Linked DNA regions of Saccharomyces cerevisiae S288C. Changing the gene in region 3 together with the main gene of any one other region gives a genetic interaction. Each region holds a gene or a part of one and is shown on either strand. Other genes may lie near its edges. The genes, in order: PIC2, COX20 and COA6.

What was found.
Region 1: mutations in COA6 (region 3) and PIC2 impair growth when combined (synthetic growth defect), as found in Saccharomyces cerevisiae (one study listed by BioGRID).
Region 2: of COA6 (region 3) and COX20, extra expression of one rescues a mutant of the other (dosage rescue), as found in Saccharomyces cerevisiae (one study listed by BioGRID).

What each region holds. Positions count from the first base shown.
Region 1 is NC_001137.3:258,116-261,561, forward strand, and holds PIC2 (Cu/Pi carrier), read right to left. Parts: upstream 1,525-3,446; coding exon 622-1,524; downstream 1-621. Other genes in the region: YER053C-A (uncharacterized protein), read right to left, coding at 2,818-2,931.
Region 2 is NC_001136.10:925,778-928,997, reverse strand, and holds COX20 (Cox20p), read left to right. Parts: upstream 1-2,087; coding exon 2,088-2,705; downstream 2,706-3,220. Other genes in the region: HEM1 (5-aminolevulinate synthase), read right to left, coding at 1-1,546; IVY1 (Ivy1p), read right to left, coding at 2,852-3,220. UniProt on the Saccharomyces cerevisiae protein: Involved in the assembly of the cytochrome oxidase complex. Required for the maturation and subsequent assembly of the mitochondrially encoded COX2, the precursor of subunit 2 of cytochrome oxidase.
Region 3 is NC_001145.3:757,983-760,832, forward strand, and holds COA6 (Coa6p), read right to left. Parts: upstream 850-2,850; coding exon 535-849; downstream 1-534. Other genes in the region: YMR244W (uncharacterized protein), read left to right, coding at 1-335; long-chain fatty acid-CoA ligase FAA4, read left to right, coding at 1,825-2,850. UniProt on the Saccharomyces cerevisiae protein: Involved in the maturation of the mitochondrial respiratory chain complex IV subunit MT-CO2/COX2. Thereby, may regulate early steps of complex IV assembly.

The DNA.
Region 1 (3,446 bases), on a different chromosome or scaffold from region 3:
ATATTATACATTATTTCTTCGAAGCTAAAAGAATCTCTGGAGAAGACTGCGTACGGAAAGTGAAAAAAAAAAAAAGTGATGATGAAATTTTCGTTTGCTAGTGAAAAAGAAAGAAAAGGTGAGTCATGGGCCTGAAAAATACACGTGGTTAGAGCCACAGTAGAGTAAAAAGTTGATATTAGGGGAGTTCTAGAAAGAAAAGGATCCTGTGAGACCAATGACAGTGATTGTAAATTGTGGGAGTGATATTTGATGTTACTATCAAATAAGGCCTCAGCCTCTGAATATGTTCACCTAAAAATTGTAGAAGATTCAATCGCGAGCGGCTGGCAAGTTTGGGCATGCATCGAGTATTGCCGTATATCGAAACTACCTTATAAATGTGTTTCTGATATGGCACTTTCAAAGTTTTCCTGGGCCTGTTCTTGGCTTGAGAAATTTGGCAATCATAACAAAACTCTTAGTATGAAAAGAAATTGTAGGACGAATATTTATTAAGACATATGCAAAGAAGAACAAACTATAAATGCCGGTCATTTACTAACTTTATGAAATCCTGTGTATACAATATTCCTCTAGCACAGAGTGTTTACGATAAACCTTGCCGATTGAATCGATCAGCTAACCGGTGGTTGGTAAGCCTACATAAGCCTTGAACGAATCGTAAATTAGCCATTGGAAACTTGTCAAAGTACCGATCATGACAATTCTCACCATTAACCCATTCCACAACCCAGTAAAGCCAATTTTTTGATATATTCTTTTAGAGGCTACAGACATGGACTCGTTGGCCTTTCTTTCGCTATTGATCTTGGAAACCATAACGTCTGCAGGATGTGAGACTGCAGCACATAATATACCTGCCAGATAACCACCTACAAAACTGACTGATATTTGCTGTAATGCGTTCATTTCTTCTTTCTTTTTAGGTAAAACACTGTATATTTTTTGAACAATTTTTTCGAATGAGGTAAACTTACACATTGTGTAAGGAATCTGTCTGCACCATAGGGGAACAATACCTTTATAAAATGCTTTCATACCTCCACTTTCTGCATACATTTTTTTCCATCCATCAACAACGTTATTGCAAAAGGGCGGCATAGTAGTCTGCTGTTTCACTTTAATAGCTTCAAATGGGCACAACATGATATCAGCGAGGAATTCAGCGGTCGCTGAGGCCATCAAGTACACAGTGACACCAGGACTTAACCAACTAGAATACAAATGCTTGAAATACTCATAACCACCATACTTACCTGCACCTTGTAGCGAATATCCGACGAATGTAGCACCAAACCCAGTGTATACTTTCTTCCAGCCTTCATTAGCTATAATCTTACGGAACCCTTGTAAGTTTGAAGTATACAACTTGGGATTGACCTGTAGCCTACATTTGACAAGATCTAGTGGAGTGATCGAAGAATGTGTTGGACCGCACGCAATTATACCACCTAAGGTACATGTGGCATAAAACTCTTTCGTATATAATTGGATTTTACGTGGTTGTTTATTGGACTCCATGCTTTACAACTGTCAATGAGTCCGTTCTCTTTTTCCCTTACTTTATTTTTTTAGAATTAAAACAATAACAGAACACTTTCAGTTAACAATGTGTCATTGACTGCCTGGAAAAAAAAATAAAATATCTATAAAACACAAGCAAAATGAAAGTATATTTGGTAGGTCCCGCTGTATTTATATCAAATGTAACAGGGTATGCAGAAAATCGATATATCCATTTTCCTTTTTATTAAGCAAAATGAAACTAAAAACAAGGAATAAACCTAAAAAAGATCTCCTTATTTCGCTAATACCCCTGAAGTCCAACTTTTGGTTAGCCGAGATCTTAGCCGAATGAGATTGTGAAATGCAACCCAAAGTGACCGTTGTTGCTAGCTAGCATATGAATGAATCTAAGAACTGGAAAGGCAAGTTAAGGGCCAAAAATAATGACTTGAATATTTTGCAGTATCTACGTTGAATTAAAGTATTCTTCGTAAGCGGTACTTTTCACTTGCTACTTGTCACCTTATTACCTATGTGCTGAGAGGGTAATGGTACGATGTTCCTTTTTGACACAATGCGTCTTTTCCCTATGCTGTAACAAAAAAAACAAAGGCCGAGGTTCGGATTTCTTAGCAGATCACGTGCTGACTTTTTGGAATACACCGTTAAAATTCTCACACGGTTAGTATTTACATTTTTTCAAGAATAGGGTTTTGCCGCTTACCTTGATATGCGGGCGATTTTGCGGGATTTCTGACATCTAATAACTTAGTAGTCATTGAAGGAACAAAGTTTTAGTCTTATTCGGATGTTTCCCTTCTTATTTTCGAAATGAAGCTTTTTGGAGAGATGGGGATAGGTGGCTTTTTGTGCCTTCCTCGAATGTCTAGCCGAGTCTTGCGATGGAAGGGCTAGACAGCATGTTTTAGAGATGTAGTAAGTTATATTATAATCATATTATAATTGCCTAAATATAGACGTATATCATATACAATAGCAAAAATACATAATTACGAACATAAAAATGAAAATAACTTTGGTCAAACAGCGTGAGCTGTCAAACGTATAAATCTTAAAAAACGTGTATTAAGTATGAGCTAAGAAGGCGCTCATCAATAGAAAACCGGATTAAAAACATCGAAAATTATTGAAAAAATATTAAGTGTAGTGTGGAAATGAATGAGTAGAAAAAAGATAAATTAGAAAACAGAACATCAACTTCGTAAATAGTAAAACGCTAAGCCAGACTAGGTAGAACTGACTTTGCATACCTCTCTTGGCGGCAGTAAGCAGATTAGCTGATTTAAATCACTGCAAGTAAGGAACATCGCTCTTGTTTCTGTTCATGACTGTTCTATGAGCACCAAAGTAGAAAACGAAAATGAAAGCGAAAATACTCAAAAAAATCTCTAAATCTTGCATTGTAGTGTGTACTGTGTAGTAAAGCTATTGTTTGTTTTTATTATTTCTATGTAGAATTCTGTAAAAGGACGAAAAGAATGTTTCCAAGCAGTATGTCTACCTCTGTCGTTGTAGAAGGGATTCCTACTTCTTTATATACAAAATGCACATCGGTAGAAATATCTAATTCTCTATTTAATTGAATGCATAAGGGGTACCAAAAAATCTCTCTTCACGTCTTATAGCTGAACAGTTATCGGATATAGGCTACCACATAAAAGAACAGGGATGTCCTAATACAGCAATCATTTTTTTTTTCATTACGTAAAAAGTAAAGTAAACCATCCATTCTCCCTTCTTTCAGTCAAATGCCGCAGTCCCTTACATTTCAAACTGAAGCGTCGGGATGAGACTGTAGAAAGAAGTAGGAGTAGTATGCAAAAAAAAAAAAAAAAAAAAAATATAACCTCTGCCGGAAGTGAAGGCACAAAAATAGCTCTCTCTAAATGGGCGGTGGAAGGGTGTTCAAAAGTAAA
Region 2 (3,220 bases), on a different chromosome or scaffold from region 3:
ATAAGTTAGACTCTTCCACAAATCCGCTCTCTCCAACACCCAATAAGCCACCTTGGCTTTCCCAGTCTCTGACACGTGGTAACTGTAGCTCATTGAACACATCATCAACTGCATTGATTAAGATGTCAGATAAATCGTTGGTGTGACCTGGCGTTGGGGTAATTCTCAATCTTTCGGTACCGCGAGCAACCGTAGGGAAGTTGATAGCTTGTACGTAGATTTGATGCTTATTGATTAAGATGTCAGAAGCTTGCTTAGCCAAATCAGCATTACCAATCAACACTGGGACGATATGAGAAGGATTTGGAATAACTGGAATGCCCAACTCATGGAAAGCTTTCTTTACGTACATGGTATGTTTCTGTTGCGAGGTTCTTAGGTCGATGTGGCAACGTTGGTATCTAATTGCTGCGGTAGCGCCTGCCATAACTGAAGGTGGTAAAGTCGTGGTGAAAATGAAACCAGGTGCAAACGATCTGAACCAATCGATCAATTTCCTAGAGGCTGCGACGTAGCCACCTACGCTACCGAAAGACTTACCTAAAGTGCCGGTGATCATGTCGACACGGTCCATCACAGTCTTCGCGCCGCCCTTGTCATTGGTCTTTGGGGTAGCAATACCACTTGCACGGTGACTTTCAAAATCACAATGTTCTGCAACACCTGCACCGTGAGGGCCGTACAGGCCGACCGCATGTACTTCATCCAAGAAGGTCAAAGCACCGTATTTGTCGGCCAAGTCGCAAATTTTTTCTATGTCGGCCACTGAACCGGCCATAGAATATACTGATTCGAAAGCAATTAGTTTAGGAACGGATTTGGGGTATGACTGGAGCAGTTGTTCCAATTCGTTCAAGTCATTATGTTTGAAAATGTGTTTTTTTACGTTAGCATGCTTAATACCGACAATCATGGACGCATGGTTGAGTTCGTCGGAGAAAATCACCAAGTCCTTCATCTTTTGACCCAGTAGGGATAAGACGGCATCGTTGGCTACGTAACATGACGAAAAAACTAAGGCACCTTCCTTCTTGTGTAAAGTGGCCAATTCGGCTTCCAGATTCAAAGTGGGGATGTTATGGCCAGCAATGTTTCTTGTACCACCGGCACCACAACCATACTTGTCGATAGTTTTATGCATGGCGTCCAATACCTCAGGGTGCTTGGAAAGTGCTAAATAGTCGTTGGAACACCAAACGGTGACCTTGTCCGCCTCTCTCTGGCGATGAGCTAGGGGGAACTCCTTGGCCAATCGGTTGATATTGTTGAAATATCTGTACGATTTGTCAAGTCTTTTCTTCTGCAGTTCGGAATCTATCAGGCCTTCGTAATCGAAACCCGACTCCTGGGTGGAATGGTTGGCAGCAGCGGCTGCTGCTGCTGCTGCATGTGTTGATGACGCTGTGGCAGTGGCAGCAGCGGCACCAGCACCAGTAGCGGTGGCATAGCCATTTTTCGCATGTGGTGCGGCTGTCGTGGACAGCCTATTCAGTGTGGAAACAGCGGCAGAGGAGTTACCGAACCTCGCAAAAATGGAGCGTTGCATACTGAAAAAAAAACCTAAGTACTGTTATGATTATTGAGGGACAACAACTAGCTCTATTAGTTTTCCTTCCAACCAAACTTATATGGGCAATATATAGGAAAGAAAAAAGAAAAGAGTGGGATAAAAAAAAAAGAAACGCGAGCTGAGAAGGGAAGGCGTGTAAAGGAAGAACGGTTGAGAGACAGCAGAGCAGGGTGCAACACACAACCGAATAGAGTATCAGCTGACGGAATGGAGAAGTTTGGTATGATGCAAACGTTGTATTTCTAACAACGCATGGATCAGAACAATGGGCAAGGCAAGATGAAAAATTTCCGTTCCTGCTCTTTCTTCATATATGAACAATGACCAAAAAGCGCCCGCGGCCGCAGACCAATGAGCGACGAAGGCGGCCTTTCCGAGCGGTAGGGTAAGCCGTGCAGGCAAGCTTATTATAGCACCGTCGGGGGTACCACCACTATATCAAACTCCACTGCTCGGTAAAGCATTGTAGTGAAGTCCACAGCAGTGCGTAACGAGCAGCTCAACAGTTAATATAAAGATGCGTTGGTGGCCGTGGTCAAATCAGACAGAAGATCAAAAGCAGCAGCAACAACCGCAGGGTAAAGCAGATGGTGATCGCGTGCTGACAAATTACTCGCGGGGTCAAAAGATCCTCTTAGAAGACACTCCACCCAAGTTTGCCGATGACTTGTCCAATTCTCAGTTGGCCAAGAAGCAAGAACGGGCTACTTTGAAAGAGGCTTGGGACTCGATCAGATGGAGTGATTTTAGTTTGCAGAAGCTGACTTCAATCCCGTGCTTCAGAGACGCGGGCATGCTCGGGTTTTCCAGCATGTTCTTGATGGGATCTATTATATTTATATACCATAAGAGCCCGACTAAGGCCACGAATTGGGCGATGAGCTCTCTGATACTGGGCTCGATTGTCGGATGGGAGCAATGTAGGCTAAAGAGACAAAAAAGTTTCCAGATCGCACAATTGGCAAAGGAAACCGTGGCGAAAAAGGAAAAACCAATGCTCCATAATGTCCCTCATGACCCATCTCTGCCGGGGCAATGGGAGGCCGCCAAAAATGAAAAGCAGAGTCAGTTTGAACAAAGTAACCAGAATTTATCTCAGGCCTCCTCTGAGAAGAAATGGTACAAGTTCTGGTGAAAAGAACGAGGGGGAAACAGAAGGTAGAAGCAGGGCCTTTTAACCGTTTTCCTATGTATATATGCAACATTTCTCCGAAAATACTATAACTTCAATTGTTCACTTTCTCCATTTCTATATAAAAAGCATACATAGAGTTACAAATTTTATATATTACTTGACTGGTCTTGCATGCCGTCCGTATCGCTGCTGTGATTGTCATTATCTTCTTTAATGGACAATTGTTTAAACGTTTGTGTGGTTTCCTCGGCAGAGTTTCTCGTAGGCGGTAAAGAAAATGAATTTTCTGTTCCCATCAAATTGTCTGTATCCTCATCTTCGCCATTTTTGCCGCCGCCATTGTTTCGTACCCCGTCCTTGTTTGAACTTGACTGTGAATGATTCGGTGTGGATACCGTTGAGGACCCCTTGGATTTGGGTAAAGATGTTTTTGATGTGGAAGGTTGGCTGGTTCCTTCTAGTAGTTCATTGAGCACCACGTCATTCCCACCCGTTTCCTCATCGCTGTTGTATGC
Region 3 (2,850 bases):
AATCGTCATGTCCGTTCAAGAACGTTAAGCCTTCATTCGGTATTAGAATTACTTGTGATGACGAATCACAATGTGAAGGCCTACCATGCTCCATTGACCCAAGTTCTAATGGAGTCAACGAAGTGACAAGTTCTGGCGGTGGTTCTTCCGGGGCTGGTGGTGGAAACTTTTGTGTTGTCACCGCCAGAAACGGCGCCAAGGCCAACATCGAAGTTTTTGATGTTGGTAGCGGCTCATCTTCTAAAGGCAAGAGAGAACTGAATCCGCTAGACGTTATTACCACAACGGTCACCGAGACCAAGTACAAGACAGTCACCGTCACTGCCAAAACTTAGCGCGGTTTTTTCTACCTTCCCTTTTTTCATCTTTTTGTTATATATATATACAGAGACACTCATGCGAATTTTCGCAAAACGAAGAAAAAAACATAAAATTTTCGTTTGTATCTACATGACTATCCTTTAATTATTACCTTTCTGTCAAATGTTTTATGGGAATATATATGTTAATATGAGCCAATAACTCACTAAAAACTCACTGATTTCGTTCCCTCTGTTTAGCTTCCTGCTCGATTCTCTTGATGGTCTGCTCTCTCTTAAAGTCGATGACCCTCTTCTCCTTGAAGTACTTGATCCAGCTATGGGCGCAATTCTCCTCAAATTTTTCATTTTCCACCTTGCAGTGCGACTTTATACTCTTGCTATTCTTGGGGTCCATTGCGTCCAAGATGTCTGCCTTGTCCAAACACTGGAAGAATGCGTCCCTGGACTCCCAGCACAACTTTCTCTGTGAACGGGTATTAGGGGGTTGTGATTCCTTTTTGCCACCATCAAATGAAAATAAGCCCATCGCTATATTACTACTATTCCTTTCTGTATATTCGTGTATCTATGTTCCTGCGCAGCGCTACAATAGTACCCGTCTATGTATGTATGTATGTATGTATGTAGGCGAATCTTCTCCCCCATTCTACAAAGCAGCACCTACCACCGCAGCACCGTTTCACATGTCCGTCTCTTTTGTTCAGCTCAGCTACAATCGTCAATCGCACTTTCTTCCGCGCGGGCGAGCCCGGTTTTGTTGGATTTGCTCAGGTGCCAATATACCATCAAGGAACGGACAGGGACCTGACAATACAATAGGCCATTTACATCACAATGCACAGGGACAGAAATTTATACACGATAACAATACCAACTAAACAAAAATATCTCCCGAGCCGATGCTTATTCCGCGGGTTCGATGCCGAAATAATTGTTGCATACGCTTTATCCAACACGATGGAGCGTGTTGGGCGCTTAAAGAAGAGACTCACTAAACTGTTCGGCTTTTTGGCTGCGCGTCTTTGCCGTTTCCCAACAAAAAACAATCATACTTAGTAACAAGAAAGACAAAAGCGCAAACCGAACCGCCCAGCTCAACCATCTTCGCCAAGTAGCGGCAAACTTATATAAGCTCCAACGATGTCCCCATCAATTAAGAACCCTCGATTGTCGGCGATCTATTTTTCTATTCTGGGTGTTTCTCGGCCTTCGTTCATCTCGTTCTTTCTACTCTTAGCCCTCATCTTTCTCTTCTGCATTCTTTTCACCTCATTAAGAACATTCGCGGCGCCGCTTTACCCCAACAAAAACAGCCCATCTTTTGTTCTACCTCTTTCAGATAAGGCTCAACAGATAGACAATAACTGATCATTCTTTCTTTTGTTTGCAACCCCTCTGAGTTGACATAAAAGCGAGAATACAAAAGAACCAGCATTAGTAACACATCATTTTTTTCTCTGTTCTTCACTATTTCTTGAAAAACTAAGAAGTACGCATCAAAATGACCGAACAATATTCCGTTGCAGTTGGCGAAGCCGCCAATGAGCATGAAACCGCTCCAAGAAGAAATATCAGGGTTAAAGACCAGCCTTTGATTAGACCCATAAACTCCTCAGCATCTACACTGTACGAATTCGCCCTGGAATGTTTTACCAAGGGTGGTAAGAGAGACGGTATGGCATGGAGAGATATTATAGATATACATGAGACGAAAAAAACCATAGTCAAGAGGGTGGATGGTAAGGATAAGCCCATCGAAAAAACATGGTTGTACTACGAACTGACTCCCTACATAACCATGACATACGAGGAGATGATCTGCGTAATGCACGACATTGGACGTGGGCTGATAAAGATTGGTGTTAAACCTAACGGTGAGAACAAGTTCCACATCTTTGCCTCTACTTCTCACAAGTGGATGAAAACTTTTCTTGGTTGCATGTCACAAGGTATTCCTGTGGTCACCGCGTACGACACTTTGGGTGAGAGCGGTTTGATTCACTCCATGGTGGAAACAGATTCCGTCGCCATTTTCACGGACAACCAGCTGTTGTCCAAATTAGCAGTTCCTTTGAAAACCGCCAAGAACGTAAAATTCGTCATTCACAACGAACCCATCGATCCAAGTGACAAAAGACAAAATGGTAAGCTTTACAAGGCTGCCAAGGATGCTGTTGACAAAATCAAGGAAGTTAGACCGGACATAAAAATCTACAGTTTCGATGAAATTATTGAGATAGGTAAAAAGGCCAAGGACGAGGTTGAATTGCATTTCCCCAAGCCTGAAGATCCAGCTTGTATCATGTACACTTCTGGTTCCACTGGTACACCAAAGGGTGTGGTATTGACACATTACAACATTGTAGCTGGTATTGGTGGTGTGGGCCATAACGTTATCGGATGGATTGGCCCAACAGACCGTATTATCGCATTCTTGCCATTGGCTCATATTTTTGAATTAACCTTTGAATTCGAAGCGTTCTACTGGAATGGTATCCTAGGGTACGCCAATGTCAAGACTTTAACC